Arabidopsis thaliana: one gene and its partner. The main gene of each other region encodes a partner of the protein of the gene in region 2 in a complex. Each region holds a gene or a part of one and is shown on either strand. Other genes may lie near its edges. A codon is read from its position in the direction of its gene.

Evidence for each region.
Region 1: the proteins of GAPA (region 2) and PRK are in contact, whole or in part, in a crystal structure (PDB 6KEZ), measured with the Arabidopsis thaliana proteins. Residues at the interface, in NP_566796.2 of Arabidopsis thaliana: Lys312 (codon at 3,589), Thr313 (codon at 3,592), Phe314 (codon at 3,595), Glu316 (codon at 3,601), Glu317 (codon at 3,604), Ala320 (codon at 3,613), Arg323 (codon at 3,622), Lys328 (codon at 3,637), Asp365 (codon at 3,748); in NP_174486.1 of Arabidopsis thaliana: Lys292, Asp327, Ile330, Glu333, Phe343, Tyr344, Gly345, Thr348, Leu352.

Annotation. Positions count from the first base shown.
Region 1 is NC_003070.9:11,529,986-11,533,908, reverse strand, and holds the start of PRK (phosphoribulokinase), read right to left. Parts: upstream 1,711-3,923; 5' UTR 1,242-1,710; coding exon 718-1,241; intron 450-717; coding exon 365-449; intron 265-364; coding exon 180-264; intron 100-179; coding exon 1-99. Other genes in the region: SCAMP5 (SCAMP family protein), read right to left, coding at 2,935-2,967, 3,069-3,134, 3,217-3,265, 3,522-3,589, 3,673-3,718, 3,805-3,898.
Region 2 is NC_003074.8:9,793,003-9,796,925, forward strand, and holds the start of GAPA (glyceraldehyde 3-phosphate dehydrogenase A subunit), read left to right. Parts: upstream 1-1,859; 5' UTR 1,860-2,223; coding exon 2,224-2,253; intron 2,254-2,331; coding exon 2,332-2,439; intron 2,440-2,623; coding exon 2,624-2,928; intron 2,929-3,013; coding exon 3,014-3,258; intron 3,259-3,343; coding exon 3,344-3,846; 3' UTR 3,847-3,923. Other genes in the region: LWD2 (Transducin/WD40 repeat-like superfamily protein), read left to right, coding at 274-1,314. UniProt on the Arabidopsis thaliana protein: Involved in the photosynthetic reductive pentose phosphate pathway (Calvin-Benson cycle). Catalyzes the reduction of 1,3-diphosphoglycerate by NADPH.

The DNA of each region.
Region 1 (3,923 bases), on a different chromosome or scaffold from region 2:
TTATCAATCTCACTCTCAACACTTTCCCTTCGTTGTCATCTGGGATCAGAGTCGTAGGAAGCACTTCTATGACCGCATCCGCGTACTGCTTTTGCGGGTCTGTATAAGCCATTGAAAATATTATAAACTGATCAAGCCGAATATGACACGGGGTTACATCAAGAAATTAGGAGTGTTACCGATGAATGCATCGAAGTCGGGCTTTCGGGCTTCGATACTCGCTTTGATGCTCTCCAAACTGTGACCTCTTTCAGCCATGTCCCTCTGTGACCATCAAAAACGTTACAGATTCAGTTTTATAAGATAAACCGAAAACGTTCCACAAAATGGTGTAAATGTAGTTGAATTATTCAAAGAAATTCACCTGAATTTTCCAAGCGAATTTGACTTCGTTGCTAATGTCCAAGTAGATACTGAAGTCTAGTAAGTCTCTTACTCGCTCATCAAACCTTCACAAGTAGATAAATATTATTATAAAACATTACAAGTACCAAAACTATAGACTTAATTATTCGAATAAAAATTAATCGGTGTCACACACTACATGCATAGATTCAAAGATCCATCTTTAATTATTCTGATACTGATTCTAGTATAAATCTAAGTCCAGATTCTTAATCATCGAAATTCCGACAAGATAAGAGACTTCCAAACTCTAAAATTTGAGTATGTCTAAGATACAAAACAGAGTATCATAACAGAGTATGTGTAGCTTACATTGGGTGAAGACCTTCGATGACAAGAATCTTAGGAGGCTGAATAAGCTCCGGAGGGTCAAGAAGTCCAGTGACATGGTTATAAATCGGTTTCTCGACGGCTATACCATTCTTAAGAGCTTTGACTTGCTCATACATGAGATCAAAGTCATTGGCGCGTGGGTCCAAAGCGGTGACTTTCTGCTCTTTCCTACCGTACCTATCCAAAGAATGGTAATCATCAAGACAGATCACAGTGGTCGTGTCGCTGATGAGTGTGTTGGAATCAGGGTTCCCGCCTTTTGGTGGCTTAGCAGCGCCACCAAAGACGCTGGTGAGCCTCCGCATAAAGGTACTTTTGCCGCAGCCAGAGTCAGCAGCTAGTCCGATCACGATGGTTTCTTGTGCGCAAGTGATGAGTGTGTTGAATCTACGGTTGGTTTGTGGTTGACGACGGTAGAGGAAGACTTGTTTGGAGGAGGAAGAAGAGGTTAAGAAATGAGTTGAATTGAGAGCTTGTGTTGAGTAGATAGTTGAGACAGCCATTGTTGTTTGTTTGGTGTTTTGGTCTCCTCTTCTTCTCCGCCTAAGCTCTTTTTTTTTTGTTTAGCTTTGTGAGCTCAGGTTGAGTGATGAGGATTTAGGATAGAATGAAAGAAATGTGGGTAACGATTTTTGATTTTATGGTTTTTTGTGTGGTGATATAGAGATGTGATTTTTTTTTTTTTTGAAAATAAGATTAAATGGGGAAAGAGAGAAATGAGAGGAGGACAATGGGTCTATAGGAAAAACAGATGGCAATTTGCAGAGAAGAAAAGGAGTTTTATTTTGTTTTGTTTTGGTTTAATGTGGTTGTGTGATGATTGGCTCATGTTTTGGTTTCTTGAAGTAAAATTGTTTGTAATGTTGATTAGTCTCTATGTTAAGATGTTGTTGATAAGATAAGAGGATAAGAAAACATTTATAGCCATTAAAAAACCAAAGATCATATCTTATTTACTTCATGAAGTAATAAACTTATGGTAATTTTGTTTGATTTTTTTGGCTAAAAGATAATTTGGAGAATAGAGTTTGGGAGAGGAGTGGAGTTGCCGATGAAGTGATAAAACTAACAGGGCATGGAGGGAGACGTTGCTTGGTGGTTATTTGCTTATTTTTTTGGGATTTGGATATTTGAATTGACACGTGGGAGATTCTAATTGGACAGATGGGGATTAGGTGTTTAAGGTCTGAAGATGAAGGAGAGAGTATTATGTGGGTCACATTTACACGTCACCGTATATCCCCCCTTGGCTTCGAATCTTTATGGTCTTTGAACAACTTACCTTTTTATGCTTTTATTTTTTTCTATAGGGATCAAAGCCTTCTTGCGTTACCTTAACAATGGGCTTCAAGCCTACCAATTAATAAAGACACCAAGAGTTTTTTTTTTTTTTTTTTTTTTGTGAACAGATACCAGAAGTTTATTACTCATGAATTTCACCGTAGGGTAATTAGTAAAAGAGATTACATCGGGATTAAAAAAACAAAACCATGGTTTATTTATCGACCGCGATAGAGTCGGCACTAGTTGCTTATTCTTGGACACATTGAACGTAGTCTCCACCAACCACCATACAACTTCCATGTCAAGCATGAAACTATAACGGGTCAGAGAATTTGTTAGGTTAAAAAGTAAAAACTATGGACTCACATTAAATCTTTCCAAAAAAATTACTTTAATCTCTTTTGAGTTTTGACTCATGGAGTTTGCAAATGAAAAAAAGTTCTTATTTTGCTCAACAGAAGAATTTAACGAAGTTTTATCTCTCTCGAGTCATGGTGTTTGCAAAAAAAAAAATTCATAAAGTTCACGGCCATATCGAAACATCTATACTTTGTTATACGCAATGATAATCAGAAGGACCAGATTCTAAGATTCAGACCGAAGAGAGTCGCTACTAATAATTCATAGCTATGATTTTTTTTTGTCTAAATAGTCCATCCACTTCGCCGAAAAAAAATCCCAAAAGCTAAGAGACGATATTGGTATATTACAGACCAGAGAAGAACAGAGTAAAAAACATAAAGAAATGGCCGAACAACCACTCTCTCTTGCTACTATAGTAACTAAAGAATTTACCTCAATCAACACAACGCATCAAACGGTAAAATGGTAATTACATTCATAGGAGATACACATATTTCAGACCTTATATCGTAAGGGAAAATTACCATCATCTTCCTCTTTATCTCCTTTTCACTTGTTTCCCCTAAAGTAGAGGTAAATTTTCTGCAAAGCCAAAATGGGAAACCAGATCAATCAAATGTTTACTGGTTTCATCAACGTCAACAGTTTTGAAGAAGCCATGAAAAGTATGATCAGAGGCTTACCTGAAGAACCCATAGACTCAGCAGTGACTCCAAGCAGAAGAGACCGAATCCGATAAAGTAGAAGATCTGCCATCATTCATTAGGGTTAGACACATTGAATATATTATAGGCGTCGTCATGAAATGTAAAATAGGTGTATAGCTCATACCCCAGCTAATAAACTGTCTGAGATGACATCAATTGCTGCAAGCACACCCCTGTTGATCGAAATAAGAGAAAGGGTTTTTAAGTTAATCTCAAGGCAACAAAACATACAGAGGTGAATCACAGCTAGATTCTCACTTCTACTTGTAGTCATAATCCTCATTATTTTGTAACAACTGAATATTAATAAACCTTTCAGAACAATTTAGAACTTTCCAATTGAAGCCCTCACCAGACTAACCAACTACATATGAAGTAAGAGTACACTCAAACGCAAGTAGAAACGTAGGCTATTATTGGAAGACTTACGTTAATGATTTTCCATGGAAAAAGATTGGAGGGGCGATGGCAGCAACGATGCAGAAGCCAATGTGAATCTGTAAGGAGCTCAGGTCAATCATGTGGAAAATGGAAGTATATCTACTTAAAGGTAAGATATAAATAGGTTTTATGAACTCACCAAGTAGGTGAAGAAAAACCAACCAAACTTCAAAGCACTGTCAGTCCTGCAAGGCCGTAAAATGTATTTCAATTATATCGCCTGTAATTGTACTTATACAAATGGAAGAGAACCAGTGAGCAGGAATATTACCTCATGGCTCGGTAGAGTGGCCTGTACCATAGTACATAAGAGAGTGGACATCCGATCAATGCATATATTGTGGCCAGGAAAAAGATTTTAACACCTATCATTGATATTTTAAAACCACC
Region 2 (3,923 bases):
ATGATGAAGCTGCATATAAACCGAACTAAACCGAAGTTTGGCTGATTTGGTTCGGATTCGGTTTATTGTGTAGCAAGAGGAAGCATAACCAGATTGATTCGACTAGGAACCACTAAACCAAACGAAATACAGAAATTTCGAACCAAACCGGATCGATTCTACGTGTATTAAACGTCGTCGTTTTTGTTAGCTAAAAAGAAGAAATAGTAAATATCCATTAGAAGAAGAAGACGAAGCAGAGGAATCTAGGGTTTATGCTACATTGAAGCAAAGATGGTTACGAGCAGCGATCAAATCCAAAATGGTTCTGAAGAGCAATCAAAAAGATCAGAGATTTACACATACGAAGCACCATGGCAGATCTACGCAATGAACTGGAGCATTCGTCGAGACAAGAAGTATCGGCTCGCAATCACAAGCCTCATCGAGCAATATCCGAATCGCGTCGAAATTGTTCAGCTTGATGAATCAAATGGTGAGATTCGTTCAGATCCAAATCTCTGCTTCGAACATCCTTACCCACCAACGAAAACCAGTTTCATACCCGATAAAGAATGTCAAAGACCCGATCTTTTAGCTACTTCTAGTGATTTCCTTCGTTTATGGCGAATCTCTGATGATGAATCTCGTGTTGAGCTTAAGTCTTGTCTTAGTAGTGATAAGAATAGTGAGTTTAGTGGTCCAATCACTTCATTTGATTGGAATGAAGCTGAGCCTAGACGAATTGGTACTTCTAGTATTGATACCACTTGTACTATTTGGGATATAGAGCGTGAAGTTGTTGATACCCAGCTTATTGCTCATGATAAAGAGGTTTATGACATTGCTTGGGGTGGTGTTGGTGTCTTTGCCTCTGTCTCAGAGGATGGTTCCGTTAGAGTGTTTGATCTCCGTGATAAGGAGCATTCGACGATTATCTACGAGAGTGGTGAGCCTAGTACTCCTTTGGTGCGACTTAGTTGGAACAAGCAGGATCCGAGGTATATGGCTACTGTTATCATGGGCAGTGCTAAAATTGTTGTGTTGGATATTCGGTTTCCGGCTCTTCCTGTCGTGGAGCTTCAGCGACATCAGGCTAGTGTCAATGCTATAGCTTGGGCTCCTCATAGCTCTTCCCATATCTGCTCCGCTGGAGATGATTCTCAGGCGTTGATTTGGGATATATCTTCCATGGGACAGCATGTTGAAGGTGGTCTGGATCCGATTCTAGCTTACACAGCCGGCGCTGAGGTTGAGCAGCTTCAGTGGTCATCTTCTCAGCCTGATTGGGTTGCCATTGCCTTCTCTAACAAGCTGCAGATTCTCCGGGTCTGATTATGTTTTACAGATTTCTGTTGGATACTTGGATGTAAAAACTCGTTGCTATTGTTGATTAATGATCTTTTGATCTCTGACTCTAAGCCTCATTGAGTTTCCTTTCATAGTATGGTCTGTGTAGGAACTATGTACCTTCAAAATTGTGAATAACTAGCTTTAGCATTGGATTTGATTAGACGTATGGAAGTTAGTTTTGAACAGAGAGCATGTGACATAACGGGGAACTTGAAGTAGATTATGACTAACACCAGCATTTATGTTTCTCTGCCCTCGAGCTGATGGAGTTGCAGGATTTTGTCTGCCTCACCATCGTATGGAATGTGTAGCTTTCTATGGTAGTTGTTATAAGTTTTGTCTCCATTGTCCATATCACTTTATGGGTATGTAGATTTGTGAAATTAGGCATTTGTAACATCGTACAGATGATGTATTCTTCATTACTTCAATACAGGCATATAGACTCTCTGTCCAACTTAAAAGGCATACAAGGTCTGTGGTTTACCAAAATCAGCTTTACTAAATCCTTTGGCCAATATTCTCTCAGCCAGTCCTAAGAACCTCTGCTCTAAAAAGTCTTAGCTTTGAAAGTCAGACAAATGGAGAGCAGCCTTATCCTCCTTTTATAACCGTGACCACACACACAAATGAAGAAGCCCAAATGAAAGGCCCAAAAATCTAAAAAATAGGTGAAGGAGGGACTTTGTGAATATGTGATCATAGAAACATGAAGAGACAAGAGAGTGGTAAAACCACAACCATAGAAACAAGTAAGAAAGCTATCCAGAATCTAATCTTATTTGCCTCCAAGTCATCAATTCTTTATCCTATATTACTAGTCTCTGCTTCACCAATCCTTTTTGCTCTCCTGTCTGCTACAAACCTTAACTTGGATTCTTTCTGGTCACCATGGCTTCGGTTACTTTCTCTGTCCCCAAGGTACCTTCCTCCTTCTTCTTCTTCTCTTCTTCAGGTCTCTCTTACACAAGTTAACTAAATGTTGTGTTTTGTTTTCAGGGTTTCACTGAATTCTCAGGATTGCGAAGCTCCTCTGCTTCTCTTCCCTTCGGCAAGAAACTTTCTTCCGATGAGTTCGTTTCCATCGTCTCCTTCCAGACTTCTGCAGTGAGTTCTCTGTTCTCCTCCAACATTATTTGTAGCTTACGTGTTCTTCCTTATGATGATCATCAACTATATGAAATGTTTGTACCTATATGCATGTCTATCGATAAATCGGATGAATTATGTTTGCTTCTGTTTCTCGCCGGTTTTGTAAACTATTTGGATGGTTGTTCTGTTTGTGTATCAGATGGGAAGCAGTGGTGGATACAGGAAAGGTGTGACTGAGGCCAAGCTTAAGGTGGCCATTAATGGATTCGGTAGGATCGGGAGGAACTTCCTGAGATGTTGGCATGGTCGCAAGGACTCTCCTCTTGATATCATTGCCATTAATGACACTGGTGGCGTCAAGCAGGCTTCGCATTTACTTAAATACGACTCTACTCTCGGAATCTTTGATGCTGATGTCAAACCTTCTGGAGAGACTGCAATCTCTGTTGATGGAAAGATCATCCAAGTTGTCTCTAACCGAAACCCGTCTCTTCTCCCTTGGAAGTAAGTCGAAAAACCACTTATGTGATCAGTCTTTTTATCTCAAGTCTAGAATAAGCATTTGAATTGGATATGGTTGGTATCTTAGGGAGCTAGGAATTGACATTGTCATCGAAGGAACCGGAGTGTTTGTGGATAGAGAAGGTGCAGGGAAACACATTGAAGCTGGTGCCAAGAAGGTTATCATTACTGCTCCAGGCAAAGGAGATATTCCAACTTATGTCGTTGGTGTCAATGCAGATGCTTACAGTCATGATGAACCTATCATCAGCAATGCATCTTGCACTACCAACTGTCTTGCTCCCTTTGTCAAAGTTCTTGACCAGAAATTCGGTATGCAATCCGTTTTCCGCTTTCGCTTTTCGTGTTCTCTCACGGGATCAATGAAACGGGTTTTAATGTGTTTGTAACATTGCAGGTATCATAAAGGGTACAATGACGACTACTCACTCTTACACCGGTGACCAGAGGTTGCTAGACGCGAGTCACCGTGATCTAAGGAGAGCAAGAGCAGCTGCTTTGAACATTGTTCCTACTTCTACAGGAGCAGCTAAAGCTGTGGCTCTTGTGCTCCCTAACCTCAAAGGAAAACTCAACGGGATCGCTCTCCGTGTACCAACACCAAACGTATCAGTGGTTGATCTCGTTGTGCAGGTCTCAAAGAAGACATTTGCTGAGGAAGTCAACGCTGCTTTCAGAGATTCTGCAGAGAAAGAGCTTAAAGGTATACTCGATGTCTGCGATGAGCCACTAGTGTCCGTTGATTTCAGATGCTCAGATTTTTCAACGACCATTGATTCATCACTCACTATGGTTATGGGAGATGATATGGTTAAGGTGATTGCTTGGTATGATAATGAATGGGGTTACTCACAGAGAGTTGTTGACTTGGCTGACATTGTTGCCAACAACTGGAAGTGATTTCATCAAACTTTGTTTCATGTTTTTCCATTTTTTTCTCTTTCTCTTTTTTACATTATGGTTCTCAAAATATCGGT